2 linked regions of the Notamacropus eugenii genome follow. The protein of the gene in region 1 purifies or fractionates together with the protein of each later gene. This does not show direct contact. Links are inferred from orthologs where the notes say so. Each region holds a gene or a part of one and is shown in the gene's direction. Other genes may lie near its edges.

The links. The genes of interacting proteins can lie anywhere in the genome.
Region 2: the proteins of KCNQ1 (region 1) and NEDD4L purify together in Homo sapiens (affinity purification with western blotting, with the first as the bait; 3 studies listed by BioGRID). This does not show direct contact. The link is inferred for Notamacropus eugenii from reciprocal best matches to the Homo sapiens genes KCNQ1 and NEDD4L.

What each region holds. Positions count from the first base shown.
Region 1 is NC_092873.1:25,399,589-25,406,996, reverse strand, and holds the start of KCNQ1 (potassium voltage-gated channel subfamily KQT member 1), read left to right. Parts: upstream 1-4,393; 5' UTR 4,394-4,506; coding exon 4,507-4,895; intron 4,896-7,408. UniProt on the Homo sapiens protein: Pore-forming subunit of the voltage-gated potassium (Kv) channel involved in the regulation of cardiomyocyte excitability and important in normal development and functions of myocardium, inner ear, stomach and colon.
Region 2 is NC_092875.1:431,905,982-431,913,803, reverse strand, and holds the start of NEDD4L (E3 ubiquitin-protein ligase NEDD4-like), read left to right. Parts: upstream 1-4,806; 5' UTR 4,807-4,900; coding exon 4,901-6,091; intron 6,092-7,822. UniProt on the Homo sapiens protein: E3 ubiquitin-protein ligase that mediates the polyubiquitination of lysine and cysteine residues on target proteins and is thereby implicated in the regulation of various signaling pathways including autophagy, innate immunity or DNA repair.

The sequences.
Region 1 (7,408 bases):
ATAGTGTGCTTTGATCTGCATTCAGACTCCATAGTTCTTTCTCTGGATGTGGATAGCATTTTCCATTACGACTCTTTTGGAATTGTCTTAGATCACAGCATTGTTCAGATGAGTTAAGTCTTACAAAGTGGGTCACTGAGTAATGTGGCTGTTACTGTGTACAGTGTTCTCCTGGTTCTGTCCACTTCAATCAGCATTAGTTTGTGTAAGTCTTTCCAGGTTTTTTCTTAAATCTGCCTGCTCACCATTTCTTATGAAACAATAATATTCCCTCACAATCACATATCACAGCTTGTTCAGTCATTCCCCAATTGATGGGCATCCCCTCCATTTCCAATTCTTGGTCACCACAAAAAGAGTTGCTATAAATATTTTGGTATGTGTGGGTCCTTTCCAGATTCCCTTTGACTTGAGATTCCTGCTGGGAATGCCCCCCTCCTTCCCCTGGAGTCAGAACCACACTGCTGCTCTCTCAATCCACTTCCTAGGGCCTAGCATTACTTCTTAGCACACAGCAGAGGGTCACCTCTGGGTGTTGATCTCCTCCTCAGTCTACCTGTATCTGTAGGCTGGAATGGACAGTGGGTGACCTGTTTGTGCTCCAGGGTTACCCATGACCACTCTTGGCCAGATCTGACCCCCTGTGACTGAAGCCCTCTGTCCCCCAGCACCAATCTAGGTTGGACAAGTGGCTTCCTGTGACTTGTCCTTAGATTTCATCATCAGAATTGTGTCTGACCCTTCCTTCCTAGGGTAACGGTGGTTGAGACTCTTCTTCACTCAGCCTCAGTGTCCTCATCAGTTGATCAGTTGATGAGGAAAAGAGTTGAGCTTCCTACTTCACAAAGGGATTGTCATGAGATGGATTTGTGAACTGTCAGGAGAAAAGGGAATTGTCTATGAAGACAGAACACCTGTATTCTAATGCTGCCTCTTCTCTTAATCCCTATGGAAGCTGGGGCAAGTCACTTGGCCCTTCTGGGCCTCATTTTTCCTGTCTCTAAAATGGGACAGTTGGCCTCAAAGGTCTCCAAGGTCTTTGACTTTATGATTAACATTAATGAGTTATGGGGTGGGGGTGGGGGTTATTAGTTGTAGAGTGGCCAGCTGCAACTAGCAGAGTCAGAATTCCTCAGGCCTCCTGGGTACTCCTTCCCAGGCCAAGCATTCCCACTACTCAGTTCCTTGAGCATCTGGAGGACGATGGAAAGAGGCAGAGGCAGGAAAGGGCAGAGATTAGGTACAAATCAAGTCCTAACAGTTAGGGTTCCCAGAGGACCAGGTCAGGCTTCATGTACCTTTGAGAGTTCTGCGCATGAAGGGTCTGCTCCTCCAGAGGGAGTCCCAAACACAGCCTCCAGCCTGTGATCGAAGCCAAGAAGGCAAAGGGTCATTCATTGTTCCAAGCTCTCTCATTAATCGTTTCCTTTCCAATCACCTGCTTCCCAGATAGGTTGTTTGTTGGATATCTCTCTGCTCTACATTTCTCACAGCAAACATCCTCCCGAGCCTCACACTTGGGCCCTAGGGAGCTGGGAAATGCTATAGCCTGGAGATGAGGACGTCAGGGTTTGCAAATGGTAGGTCCATGGCAGTGTCCACTTGGGTGTGATTCATAGAATGTCCAAACAGAGAGGAGAAACCAGAACTTAGAATGGGATAACTGGGAGGGACCTTGGAGATCTCTGCCCACACACCTATCAGGCAGCGTGAGGGTCCTTCCAGATGGAGAGACTCTGGTGTTTTCCAGGGAAATCTAGTTTCTAGAATAGTCATCACAGTGAGCCTTTCTTCTGCTGTTCCAGAGTTCCACGATGTTGTTTCATTTGCTTCCTATAACACGTCTTTATTTGGAGTGGTAGAGGAGTATTGCCTTCACTTTACAAAGGTGTAAAGTGAGATCTAGAAAGGTAAAGTACCTGTATTTCCTCAGTGATTAACAAACTCCCTCCTGGTCATGCCCGAGAATGAAGGATGAACAATCCCCACCACCCTATCACAATGATTTTGATCCCATAGCTGTCATCATTCAAACCCATTTGAATGTCTCCTGAGATGGATCCTCCTTGGGATCATGCTCTTTATCCATAGGTGCCCCCATGGCTCTGTCTAGGGCCCTCTTCTCTTTTCCCTCTATTCTCCCTCCTTCACTTGGCGATCTCATCAGGCAATCATTGTCATTTAGTTACCATCTTTATGATAACTCTCAAATCAACTTATCCAGCCTCTTTCCTGACCCTTTTTCCATCTCCAGGTACCTACTGGTCATCTTGATCTGGATGTCTTGTAGATGTCTTCAGCTCAACATGTCCAAAACTGACCTCATGTTCTTTCCCCCCATCCTCTCCTTTCTGAGCTTACTGACCCACATCTTGGGATGGGGGATAGGAAGAGGCAGTACCTGGGCTGAGCCTTGAGAGAAGCTAGGGATTAAAAAATCTTTATCATATTTTGACCGATGCCTTTGTTTTTTACATCTCATTCATTTCTGAATATATCTCTTCCCTCTCTCCTACACAATGACCTTCTTTTGTAATCAATACTTTTTAAAAGGGAAATAGGTTCAGATGTTGTGGTCAACATTTTTCTTACAGGACCTGGGTTCAAATCCCCACTTGAGATACATACATCCTTAGTGACTTTGGGTAAGTCATTTGATATCCCTGGTCCTCAGTTTCCCCCTCTGTAAAATGAAGGAGTTTAACTTAATGGAACTTCATTCTGGCTTCACATGTATAAGTCCATGACCTGAAGAGAACTTTTTCTTCTGTGTATTCCAGGCACAGTTCTCTATGTGACACCCCCCACTTTCTCCATGTAACTTCAGGTCTTTGAGGAGGCCTGTCCACTCTCCAAATGGACTCCTATCCCAAGCTCCTACAGATCCATCCTTTGGCACCCCCAGCGTCCAAACATAGGCATTTGGATGGTAAAATGCCAGTGTCACAGGGAGGGGTGACTTTGGAAACTTTTCCCTCCCCCACAAATATTTGTGGCACCAACTCACTCCACCAGAGGGTTGAGGGCACAAAGAGGGGTTCTGAGCTCCTCCTACCCCACAGGGCCTGAGGGGTTTGTGATTTAGTTGGGAGCACCAGCAGGAGGCCTGCTCAGAAACTGAACCTAATACTAAGCCCCAAGGGATAGTGGAGTGGGACAGGTGCACCCAGGACAGATGCCACCAGAGGGCTTCCAGTAGGAAGGTCTAGGGAGAGCCAAAGACCTGAGCACACGTCTATGTGAGGGCAGGACTTCTGGGTCAGGGGACCTTGGGAGTCTGTGGGTAGAAAAGAGCCAGGAAGATAAGAGGGGAGGGCAGAGCAGAGATGCTCATTTCCAGTCAAGGCTCATCTGACTCAAGGGGCCCTCTAGTCTCTTATGGGGCATCTGCAAGAGCCCAAATTTAAACCCCTGCTCTTGGGCCCTGCTGCCTCCCCATCTCCTGAATAAAAGTGGGGTGTGAAATGTCCCTTCCAGGGCACTGATTTTGGAGGGAGACAGCCTGGTTTCAAACCCCGCCTTGGACACTTATTACTTGTGTGATGTAGGCCCCAGTTTCCTCTCGAACTAGCCTCTGAGGTTCTTTCCAGCCCTAAGCCTGTGATCCTCGATAGGACTAAAGCCAGGCCAGAAGGGAGGTAGACCTGGGCCCCAAGACCCTAAGAATACTCCCTCTGACCTTCTTTCTCCCTTCCCTCTTTGGGGGCTAAGTGGGATCGAAGCCGGAGGCTCGGAGGGAAAGGGACCGGGGCTAGGGCCTGCTTGGCCTGTGGCTGAAGACCACCAAGGAGGGAGCGGTGCTTGGGAAGAGCCAGTTCGGGGGCTGGCGCCTACTGGGGAAGGCTGGGCCTCCCGAAGGTCGAGATGGCCCCCAGGTTGGAGAGAGGCGGGTTCTTGATTTCTGTCACCCAGCCTCTGTAGATGCTTCCCACCTGCTGCCGCAACCAGTCGAAAGATCGGGGACCGGGCTTCTCACCGCCCCTGGGAGGGAACTGGGGGTCCGAGCAAAGAGGCTTGAGGGACTCAGGGGAGCCCATGGGTGGGGGCAAGGAGGCCAGGGGCCCACGAAGCAGGTGTCGCTGTTTGTGTGGGTACGTGTGCCCAGTGAGTGGGTAGGGGAGAGGGGCTTTGAGGATGGGGATTAAGGGTACCCGGGGAGGGCAGGGCAGGGTTCCAGGGGGCGCCCTTGGGCTACGGCTCGGGTCCCCCTCGGCGGGCTTGGGGAGGGGCGGGACAGGGAGCTGGGGGTGTATGGGTTACGGGCTCTTGGGTGAGAAGGGGCGGGGGAGGCAGCCCGAGCCCCGCCCCGGGCGGCGGGCATGGGCAGCTCCCGCCTCCCTGGCTCGGTCGGTGCCTCCCCTCGGGAGTGGGAGCCCAGTCTCCAGGGCAGCGGCCGTGGCGGCAGCGCTTGGCGCGGGGAGCTGGGAGCGCCGCTCTCCTTCCTACCTCCGTCCGTGCCCTCCGAGCCGCCGCCGTCCAGTGTCCCGCGGCTCCCGGGCCAGCCCCATGGCGTCCTCGGCCGGGTCCCCACCGCAGGCTGAGCGGCGGCGCTGGGGCTGGGGCCGTCGGGCCAGCGGGCCCCTGGGGCTCAGCCTCAGCCCCAAGGCTGCCTTCCCCTCGGAGCTGGCCGAGGTGACCCCGGCGGCCGGCGCGCTCTACGCGCCCATCCCTCCCCCGGCCGCAGCGCCCCCGGCCCCGCCGTCGTCCCGGGGCCCCCCGGCCCCGCCGTCGCTGTCACCGTCGCCATCACCGCCTGCCACGGTCAACCTGGACCCGCGCATGTCCGTCTACAGCGTGTGGCGCCCTCTGCTCGCCCGCAGCCACGTCCAGGGACGCGTCTACAATTTCCTCGAGAGACCCACGGGCTGGAAATGCTTTCTCTACCACTTTACTGTGTAAGTGTCTGCGCCGCGCCCTCTGCGTCCAGCCCCGACCGGGGACTGTCCCCAGGGACCGCTACCCTGGCCAGGCTCCTTCCTCACACCGCTGCCCACCGTGTGGGACCCTGGCAGCTGGGCTGTAGGCCTTTAGCCAGCGGTAACCCTCCCCCCACCCCCGCCTAGGGGGCGAAGCTGGCCAGCTCCAGAGGGCCCAGCACCTGCGGCCCACTGCTGGGCTGCCAGCCTCCTGGTGAGGGGCTATGAGGAGGGAGGGGAGCTCAAACTGGAGCCCCAGCTGGGTGAGCTTTCCCTGCTGTCCTGGAGCTAGTTCCCCAGCAGCCAGTCTGCCCAGGATGCCTTTACAAATGGCCAGGGAATAGTGGTTCTTGAAGGGGGTGGGGGTGGGACTGAAGAGAAGGAAGGGCTCTGATTGGACTGGTGTTGTCTCCCAGTCCCGTTTTGGGGTCTTGGACCTTCCTCTCTCTCTTTCAGTTTCCTGAAAAGTGGTCGTGGCCTTGACTAAGGACAGGGGAGAGGGAATTGGGCCTGGTTTCATTTGGGAGGGCAAGGAGTGAGCTGCCTGTCCATCCATTCACCTACCCATCCATCTAATCCTCCATTCTCTCCCTCCTGGTGGTGGTGTCCATTCCCTGACCCCTTGCTGGCCAGAGCAATCTTTTTTTCCTTATTGTCTGTTCTTGGGATTCTAAGGATATTCTGAGTATAGGTGAAAAGCCCAAGCCCCAGAGACACCTGCTCAGTAGGGAGAACAGAAAGCTCCCACTGAAATCACTTCAGGCAAATTCTCAGGAACATTACTCCCAGAGAGGGGCAGGGTTTCCTTGGAGAAGAAAACTGGGAGTAGAAAGGTTTCCAATGAAAGAGGAATCCATTTTCCTGTCAAGAGAGACTGCTGGCCAACCCACTGCTGTACCTACACCATAGTACTGAAGGGGTTTCTGTTCAGCACAGGTTGACTAAGCCCCTACTAGGTGCAAAGCCCTGGCTTGGGCTGGGGAGAGGTGAACAAAGCAACTCCGGCCTCCGGGGGGTTACTGAGTAAAAGCAAGAAAGGGGGTGAGCAAGATCAATGAACAAGCATTTATCAAGTGCCTACTGTATTCCAGGCACCATGCTAACACAAAACTGCCAAACAGTTCTGTTCTCAAGGAGCTTCTACTCAACTGGGAGAGACAAGAGATATAATTGGACCCTGGCAGATAAATATGGAGGAAGTGGAGGGTCACCTGAGAAAGGATAACCCTAGCAGCTAGGGTCTTCATGAAGGAGGTGGCACTTAGACAGATTCTCAAAAGAAGCCAGGGATTGTAGGAGGCAGAGTCAATAGGGAGAGCATTCCAGGCCTAGGGAACAGCCCAGACAAAGCTATGGAGAGAGTGGGTCAGCGCCGGTGAGGGGCCAGCCTGTCTTGATCATTGGTGTGGAGAAGGGAGAAAGGAAGGGGCCAGGTTGTAAAGGGCTTTGAATGGCATATAGAGTATTTTATATTGATTCTGGAGGTAATAGGGAGCCACTGGGAGTTCTTGAGAGTCTTCACATCATGTGGCTAGGTCTACACTTTAGAATTATCCCATTGACACCTGTGTTTGAGTTGGAAGGGTATTGCCATAGTCCAGGTAAGAGGGGACAAGGTGACCCTGTGAGTGGACAGAACAGGATGGATGTGAGAGATATTGTGGAGAAGGAAATTATAAGATTTGTCAGCAGAGCGAATAGGTAGGGATGAGAAAGAAGAGTCAAGAATGGCTGTGTGGTTGTGAAGCTGGTTGACTGGGAGGATGGCAGTGCCCTTGAGAGTGATGGTGAAATTTGATAGAGGGAAGGGTTGGGGGGAGAAGGTAATAAACTCAGTTTTGGATATGTTGATTTTGAGATAAGATGTCCCAGGGCAGTGGGTGATGAGGAACTCAGGAGAAAGGCAGGGTCTGCGGTATTCGTTTGTTGAGCAGGGAATTATTGATCACCTGGGATCTTATGAGCTCAGCCAAGAGGGAGAGAAGAGGGTCCAGGACAGATCCTGGGAGCACCCAGGGCTAGTGGGAGCAACCTGGAGGAAGATCCACCGAGAATCTAGTGGGTAACGTTGCTATGTGACATTCCATTCAGATTTGCAAAGCTTTTGACAAAGAACTCTGTGAATTTCATCCCCACTAGAGAAGATGAGGAAATTGCTGCTCAGAAAGGTTGAGGGACTGCCCGAAGTTACCTCCAGTTAAGTGTGAAAGGCAGGTTTGAACCCACACCCTTGACTCCAAGTTCAGCACAATGAGAAGTCAAATGAAGCAGCTGCCCTTTCTGCAGGGACTTACAGTCTTTTGGGGGGTCTTTGAGAAAGACACAGAGAAGTGCAAGAAAGAACACTTGCTACTCTCAGGAGGCTTCAGTCTGGGGGACATGAAAGATGGGCACTGAGACCACAAGCCCATCTAGGCTGGCCGCAAGATAGAATGTGCTGGTGAGACAAGCATCAATTCCAATGAGAGAAGGTGAGAGAGAGCCCCTTCCCA
Region 2 (7,822 bases), on another chromosome or scaffold:
TTTCGAAGCACTTTAAAATTATTTCTCAAAAAAAGATGCATATTAATTTTTTTCTTCTCATTTGTTTCAGTGTTGTAGCTAAAAGTCCATAACAGGCAGAAAATTAAAAATTTGTTTTAGATGCTTGCCGCAGTAGACACGTGTGGTTAGATGCATCTCCAGTTTATCATTGTTTTTGCCAGATTTTGTTTTATCTTTTGGCTATTTTTTGGTTGTTGTTTTGAACTCTTTACTTTTGAGTCACTGAAGGTGACATTTGTGTTTCTTGTAGGTAAATCCGTCCAATCATAGACTTCTGTTTGAAGTATTTGATGAAAACAGATTGGTAAGTTTCGACCGTCAACTCTCCACCATCCCTCTCCTCAAACGATGATCTTAATGTGAAAATTGCATCTTTTTTTTTTGGTGGTATACAAAAGTAAATTTGAATAATGTGTATATATGTATTTAGAATTTTTTTTTAATTGTTGGTTCTGGATCTCTGATTTTATCAGTGCAGAAAGTTGCCTGACATAGAAACTTCATCCACCAAAGCCAACGGTCAATTCATCTGTAATTTATAATCTTAAATAATTGTTTGGCTCACCGAAAGATTAAGTGACTTGTCTGCATCGTACAGATAGTATGTGCAGAGAAAAGACTTGGACCTAGATCACTCTGAATCTCAATGCATGCAACTTTCAATGACACTTTGTCTAGCCATCTACATTCATGTTAACATGTATGGTATGGGTCAGAGTAGTTTATGTAATAATATCCAGATATTTAAAAAATTTTAAATATTCCTCATCTATATTTGTGCTAATTATGTGGTAATGGCGCAGGAGAAGATTAAGGATATTTGTGTATGTGTGTGTTTTTTTCTCCCAGTAAGTAAAAATAAAACCCATTAATGCTCACATAAACTCTTTACGTGCTGAGATTTGGTACACAGAATGGTGATATAATTGTGTAAGGATTATTCATTATACGTAAACTAACTTTGTGGAATCCCAAAGTATACTTGTCCACATGGCTTTTCTTTGGGTAGTGTAGTTCAAGATATATCTAACAACTTGAAAAGAGGGATGGATTGTCCTAGGAGAGAAAAAAAAATTCATGACAGTTTTTAAAAAGTGTTTTTTTGTTGTTCAGTGGTTTTTTAGTCATGTCCAACTCTTTGTGACCCCATTTGGCATTACCTTGGCAGAGATACTGGAGTGCTTCGCCATTTCCTTCTCCAGCTCATTTTACAAACTAAAATAAACAGGGTTAAGTGACTTGCCCACAGTTGCACAGCTAATAAGCATCTGAGGCCAGGTTTGAACTCAGGAAGGTGAGTCTTTCCGGACTCCATCGCACCGCCTACCTGCCCCCAAAAGATGGTTAGTTGTCTTCAAAGTATAGAAGGAAAATTTCTATCTGGAATGCTTAATTAAAATAGTCTACAGATAAACATTAGGAAAAAAATGCAAAAAGAGGATCAGCTTTTCAATTTGAGATTTTGTTTCTTCATTTTGCTTAAATGAGGAAAATATATTATACAGCTAAGCAGACCCTTTATTAAAAGGGGAAAAAAAGATCATTATTACGTCTGTATCATCTATAGCAATCTCCACAATCATATAGCAGAAAAATCAGTTTACCAGGATTCAAATCTAACCACAGCAACTAACCAACTGTATGACCTTGGGCAAACTACTCAACCCAGGGTGGGGAGCCTGTGGCCTTAAGGCCACATGTGACCGTCTAAGTACTTGGGTGTGGCTTTTTGACCGAGTCCAAGTTTTACAGAACAAATCCTTTTATTAAGGAAATTTCTTCTGTGAAGTTTGGATTCAGTCAGAGGGCTGCACTTGAGGACCTAGAGGGCCACATGCGACCTTGAGGCCCCACGTTCTCCACCTCCAATGTCCTAACCTCTCTCTGCTTCAACTTCCTTATCTGGAAACTGGGGATAATAACAGCACCCACTTCCCAGGGATGTTATAAGGACAGAATGAGATAGTATTTGTTAAACATTTGGTAAACCTCAAAGAAGGCACTATAAAATGCTGCTGCTACCATTGGAACTGCTACTACTGCTGCTGCTACTACTACTACTCTTACCTACCACTACTACTACCACTACAACTGCTGCTAATTACTCCTCCTCCTCATCTTATTACTACTATTCTATCTTCCCCTCTTTCTCTACTCACTGTCCCCAAAATGTAGGTTCTTATTGTTTAGTACTTTCTTATGATTTTCAAACCAGAATAAAGTTTTACAGATTGATCCAGACAGAAGCAACTTTCTGTCCACCCATTCCCCTCCCCTGTTTGACAGATGAAGAAATAGAGTTGGTGACCACCAAGTTGGCAAAGGGTTTTGTCTCAGGTCACGCTGCTTTTTAGTCAAAGACAGAGGCAGTATTTAAGCCTAAGTCTTCTAGTTCTTGGGGGCAGTATTTCTTGACCATGCTGTTTTCTTGTATTTAAATTGATATGCACCTGCCCTGTCATTTTGACAATCAAATAATGTTCATTTTGTCTTCTTCAGTGATTAACGTTATTCCAGAAATCATCTCAGACAAGTTAGACTTTCTCATGTCTCTCAGGAGCTTTTAAAATATATATGGGTCCAGCGTTAGTGAATGTACCGTTTTACCTCCAAAACATTAGGAACTAGGAAATCTATAAAAACATTATATATAGTCATATAGCATATAAATAATGCTAATATTTTTATTGTCAGTGATCTAAATTCTGTTATTTATATACGCTTATTCTTAGAAATGGATGGGGGTTTATTTTGGAATGGGGGGTTGCTGTTTTCTGTGCTTTATTTGCACATAGGGAGGAAAAGTTAGATGGAAGAGACTGTATTAAATAGTGCCTTAAGAGAAGACAGAACCAACTTTAGTATACTAGATCTTGATAATTAAATGAGACGTAATACCTAGAAAGGAAATAAAGGATTTTTTTTTGGTTGAAATTAATTTTGCATTTAACATACAGTTTCTAGTCCAGAAGATTTCACTATGAAAATAAAAGAATTTCCCTTATTTCTTTATTTAACTATGCTACCTTTAAGATATTTTTTGTGTTCTGTCTCTTGCCCCTCAGGCATTCCTTGTTAGAAGGGTCTAAAATGCATAAGACGTGCTTGCCAAAGCACTGCTGCAGAAAGAATGCTTTTTCTGAAAATTATGTTTAATAATACTAACACCTGGGTTTGCACCAAGCTGTCTGCAGCACTGTTACTGTGTGACGAATAGCTGTGTTCTTTCTTGTTGGCGCGGAGGCCTGTTAAAGACAATATGGGATTGTGCTGGTGCTTGGCAGTTTTAGTGTTGAACAAGCCAGATTCCATTTTTTTCATAATTGGTCATCTTGGCATTTGGAAACATGCTGCTAGAAAACAGATTTGGATGTCTAAACATGGTGTTGGACTCCCCCCCAGCCCAAACCCACCCCCCTACACTATACCCATGATTCCAGATCTGTCGTCAAAACTATACTTTGGGATTTTAATAGAACCTTGTCTAGACCTTTTATTTGGGTTATATTCCTTTCCTACTCCAGGTCAACCTATACAATTGCTATTTCTGGTCTGTGAGAAAGAATTAACATGAAAGACAATCATAAATAATTCTTTTTAGAAGTGTTGTTTGGAGTGAATGAAATTGATGACTTTCTATGAATTTTAAAACCTTTCTATTTTGTGAAGCATTTTGGCTCTTAACAAGCATAAGAATATCCCATATGGGCATCCAAATTGCATTAATTTGGGGCAACATTGCCTCTGCATGGTATCTGTATGAAATTAATACAAATCTGTATATATATACCAACCTTTTTGGATTTTCTTCAGTCATTCCTACCTGGCATGTATGAGGGACGATATTTTCTCAAGCTGCGTTTTTATTGCTCTTTTACTTTCCTCTGGTGAGAATTCTCTTTGTAACCTTTTTTTTCCTATTGGTAGCTGTTAAAGAAAATGTTTCAGGGTAGTGGCAAGATTCATAGTATTAACTCCAGCAGTGTTTTAAATTGTCTCCCATCCCCCACATAGATATTTTCTTCCTTGTAGATCATAGTCTAATTATTTAGCGTTAAAGGGAGCTACTTCTGGGCAGTGTGTAATTATATTTATAGTATGTTTTTACTAGTTTGCATTCCACCATAGTAGTCTGTTGATGTCATACATAGCCCGGCAAAACAAACAAACAAACAAAAGGTGCTGCTTGTGAAAATCTGAGACCTATTTCTACTTTCTAAGTTGGTCTTTCTGAGGAGGTGGTGGGGATGTGGGAAGATGTGGGGTTGTTTTTTAATGGAAGGCACTTTGTGTTTTGGGAGAGTGTGCTGTGTGTGTGCGCGTGTGTGTGTGCGTGCGTGTGCGTGTGCGTGTGTATGTGTGGAAGCGTGCGCGCGCGTGTTGCTTAGTTCAGAAGTGCCCTGTGAATATGATGTGATTTAGATTAATAGTAGCCCTGAGAGTGTTTGCTGCTGTAGTCAGCTGTGAGAGCTCGCCCGCTGGGGCAATGCCTTTCTGATGGAAAAAGAGCAGCTGGGAAGGTGCTGTTTCAGGCTCTTACTGTTTAAAAGAGAGGGAGAGGGAGAGGGAGAGGGAGAAAAAAAAAAAAAAAAACCAGCCCAAGTCCAGAAGCTGGCATTGGAGAGGGAGAACAAGGTCATGTGGCTCTAACCATCCTACCCTCTGTCCCAGTGTGCAGAAGCTCCGATTCCTCTTATCCAATCATGCCTGGAATGCAGCTTGCCACTTGGGTTATTTCTGCTATCTGTCGCTATCGTTGGTGCAGTGCTAACAGTTTGGCAGATGGGACAATTTTTCTTGGAGTTTATGTCTTTGATTTTTAACTTCTGGCAGTGCTTGAATTGTTGTCTCCCTTCCTTTCCTGCCCTCCTGTTAAACCATGGCCCATCGGCTGCGGTTTCATTTTGGCTCTGGTCGAAGCAACACAGCCCCTGAATCAGAGATCCTAGATCGAGAGAGAGAAGACGACTTTTTTATGGCATTCCACACTTTGCCAAGGAGAAACAGTCCTCACCCATTCTCTCAAAATGGAGCAGAGTATGGTGGCGGTAGCCTACAAGAAGTTGGATCTCTCAAACGAAGCACATCCATGTTTATCCCTCAGCTGCTGAATAACATTGATGCCCGTCCAACAAGGAGCTCATCTGTGCAAATCTCCCTGCAGCGCAAAGCTGTGAACGGACATACTGATGAGTGCGGGGCACCAGATTCTCTTGATGAGGACCTTCCCTATAAATTTTCAGACCTTAGGGAGAATTTTACTGCACCAGTAAGTAGACCTTCTTCATCCCAAAGCAGCTCCCAAGAAACTTCAGAAAGAGAATCCCCCAGTAATTCTCCACCAAGGTTGGTCAATGATTTAGGACAACAGGTCAATGGATCTAATAATACTTGCAGTCACAGAGTGTTTTGTACTGTTCCTTCAGATAACCAAGGTGATGCTGTCCCCTCAGTTGCCCAGGGTGTAGAAGGCAATGAAAATGCTTCAGGTTCCAACATAACTGGAGTGAGAATTCAGCATCGTGCTTCGAGCGCAGATATGCGTCAGGTTAGACTCTTGCCCTTTGGATCAGAGGTTCAGAACAACCCTTCTGCTCCTGAGCCCAGGCGTTGGTCTTTGCAACATGTGCCAGATGTATCTGCTAGTTCTGGGAAAAGGTGTTTTGTTTTCCAGTTGCAACAACCCCAAGCAAGCACTCCAAGCCTTGGTGGTGATTTCAATTTTGGATTTACTGGAACAAAGGGGGACAGGTTGGTCAGGTATCCAAGAATAAGGCTAGAGAGGAGTACCTCCTATCCAGTCCAACCTCGACCTGAACGAGTCAGCCCAATGGAAGACAGGGTGAATTCAGAACCTCCTAACAATGGGAGGAATTGTCCTGAAATACAAAGGAGTAACTCCATAGAAAGGATTCCACAGAATAAGGGCTGCACTTTTAAGATCAGGCAAGATCAGAATTCCCGACAACAACACTTTAGAATTCTTGTTACTCGTGGTCATGAAGAACCTCACCAGACTCTTGAAGAGAATAGTTCAGACACACCTGCTTCTACTGCAGCAAACACTCTGGTAAGTTGGCCATCGAATGTGCCATGTTCCTATTTGAACATTAGACAAAAATAATGGGTTCAAATTGGGAATTTTTTTTTTTTTGTATTACAGCTAAAAGAAACTTTCTTCTATAACATTTGAAATTTTCCTATTCAAAGAACCTGGTTACCTATAATTTCTAACCTCAAGTCATGTTGCTCTTATGTTCTTGATATGTATCTGTGGGTCCAGTACTTGGTTGGAATCATAACGTTATAATAAGACTGACTGATGTTTTGCAAGAAAATACTTACCAGTTAAAAAGTTTTGTTCCTTATAAATCTTCAAAGGCCCTTAGCTGACTTTATGTTTGAAGCAAATATAGCCATGTTCTCAATTTGGTGAAATATAATGATTTCCCTTTGTCAGTGCTCAAAAAGCAAGTCCATTCTCACTTCATCCCTCCCACCCCAAAATAAACTTAAGCCAAAAATCAAACCTAGCCAAAGAACACGTGCTAATGTTGGAAAATCCATAAGGAACCTATTTGCAGGTTCATCCTGTGCTGGGCCTTTTTATCAAAAGTAATCTGTGCTTGAAAGTGTTAGGAAATAGGGAAATAATGACGTAGTTTGTCTTAACTAATTAAAATGTTTACATTAATACATGTCCCAAAGTTCTTTTCTGCTGTGTTAGGAGTCAGTCTAGTTCAGATACTTTTGTCTGCTTTGATTAATTAAGAAGTGTACTCCACATGAATAGTGATGCAGTACATGTGATATGTTACTTATTTTTGAAGCGAAATAACTTTTTGGACCAAGCATGGGTAAAACTTTTATGGGGAATCATTAATTCTCAGGTTGCATTACAGTGCAATTTAACACTGCCCACTTGAGACTCCAGGCTCAGTGATGCTGTATATAGCATAGTAAGTGCCCTATCTCCAGCTGTGAAAACAGACTCACTCTCACAGACTCTGGTCTTTGCTGCTTGTGTGTGTTCCTCTTCTCCTAGGCTCTCCCTTTCAGTGAAATGTAGCACAGAAAGACAGCTGCTTACTTCACCCAGCCATATGATGACTCTGCAGCTCTCATACTTTCTATCTGGCTGAGCAAGTGATATGGAAACTTGAATCAGATTGATTTCTTTTGTTTATAACCACTAGATTTAAGTGCTTTCTAAAAGAATTCATTCCCTGTGTTTTCCATTATTGTTAGTATTATTTTGTCTTGGAGCATCATGTAGCATCCTTACTTTACTAAAAAGCTTATGTTTCTGATGGTATGTATGTGTGTATATATGTATGTACGCACATAACACTGTATATATATACATGTATGTATACCCATGTACACACATATGTGTATACATATGCATGCAGATATATATATATGTTTTGCACTGTTTTGCTCTATAGGTGATGCTTACTTTCTATTTTATGTGGGAGTTGTGATGATCTGTAACATTAGCTTCATAAATAATTATTAGACTGGTTGATATCCCAGCTCTACTACTAAGTTCACTATGCCACTTTTTCAAGGGTGCAGTAAATGCTTTCTCCTGGATGACTTTATTCAACTCCCCATCTTTGCTCTTTTCTCTCTCAGTCCACCCCACTCCCTTCCTTTTTTACATATCTTTAACCCCTTTCCAGTAAACAGCTGTGGGTTTCATCATTGCTTTAGCCTAAGGCTATCCCTCATAAAGTAGTAGAATAATCCCACAGAAAGGGTTAGGAGGCTGCTGACATTTTAGAAGTATTATCCCCAG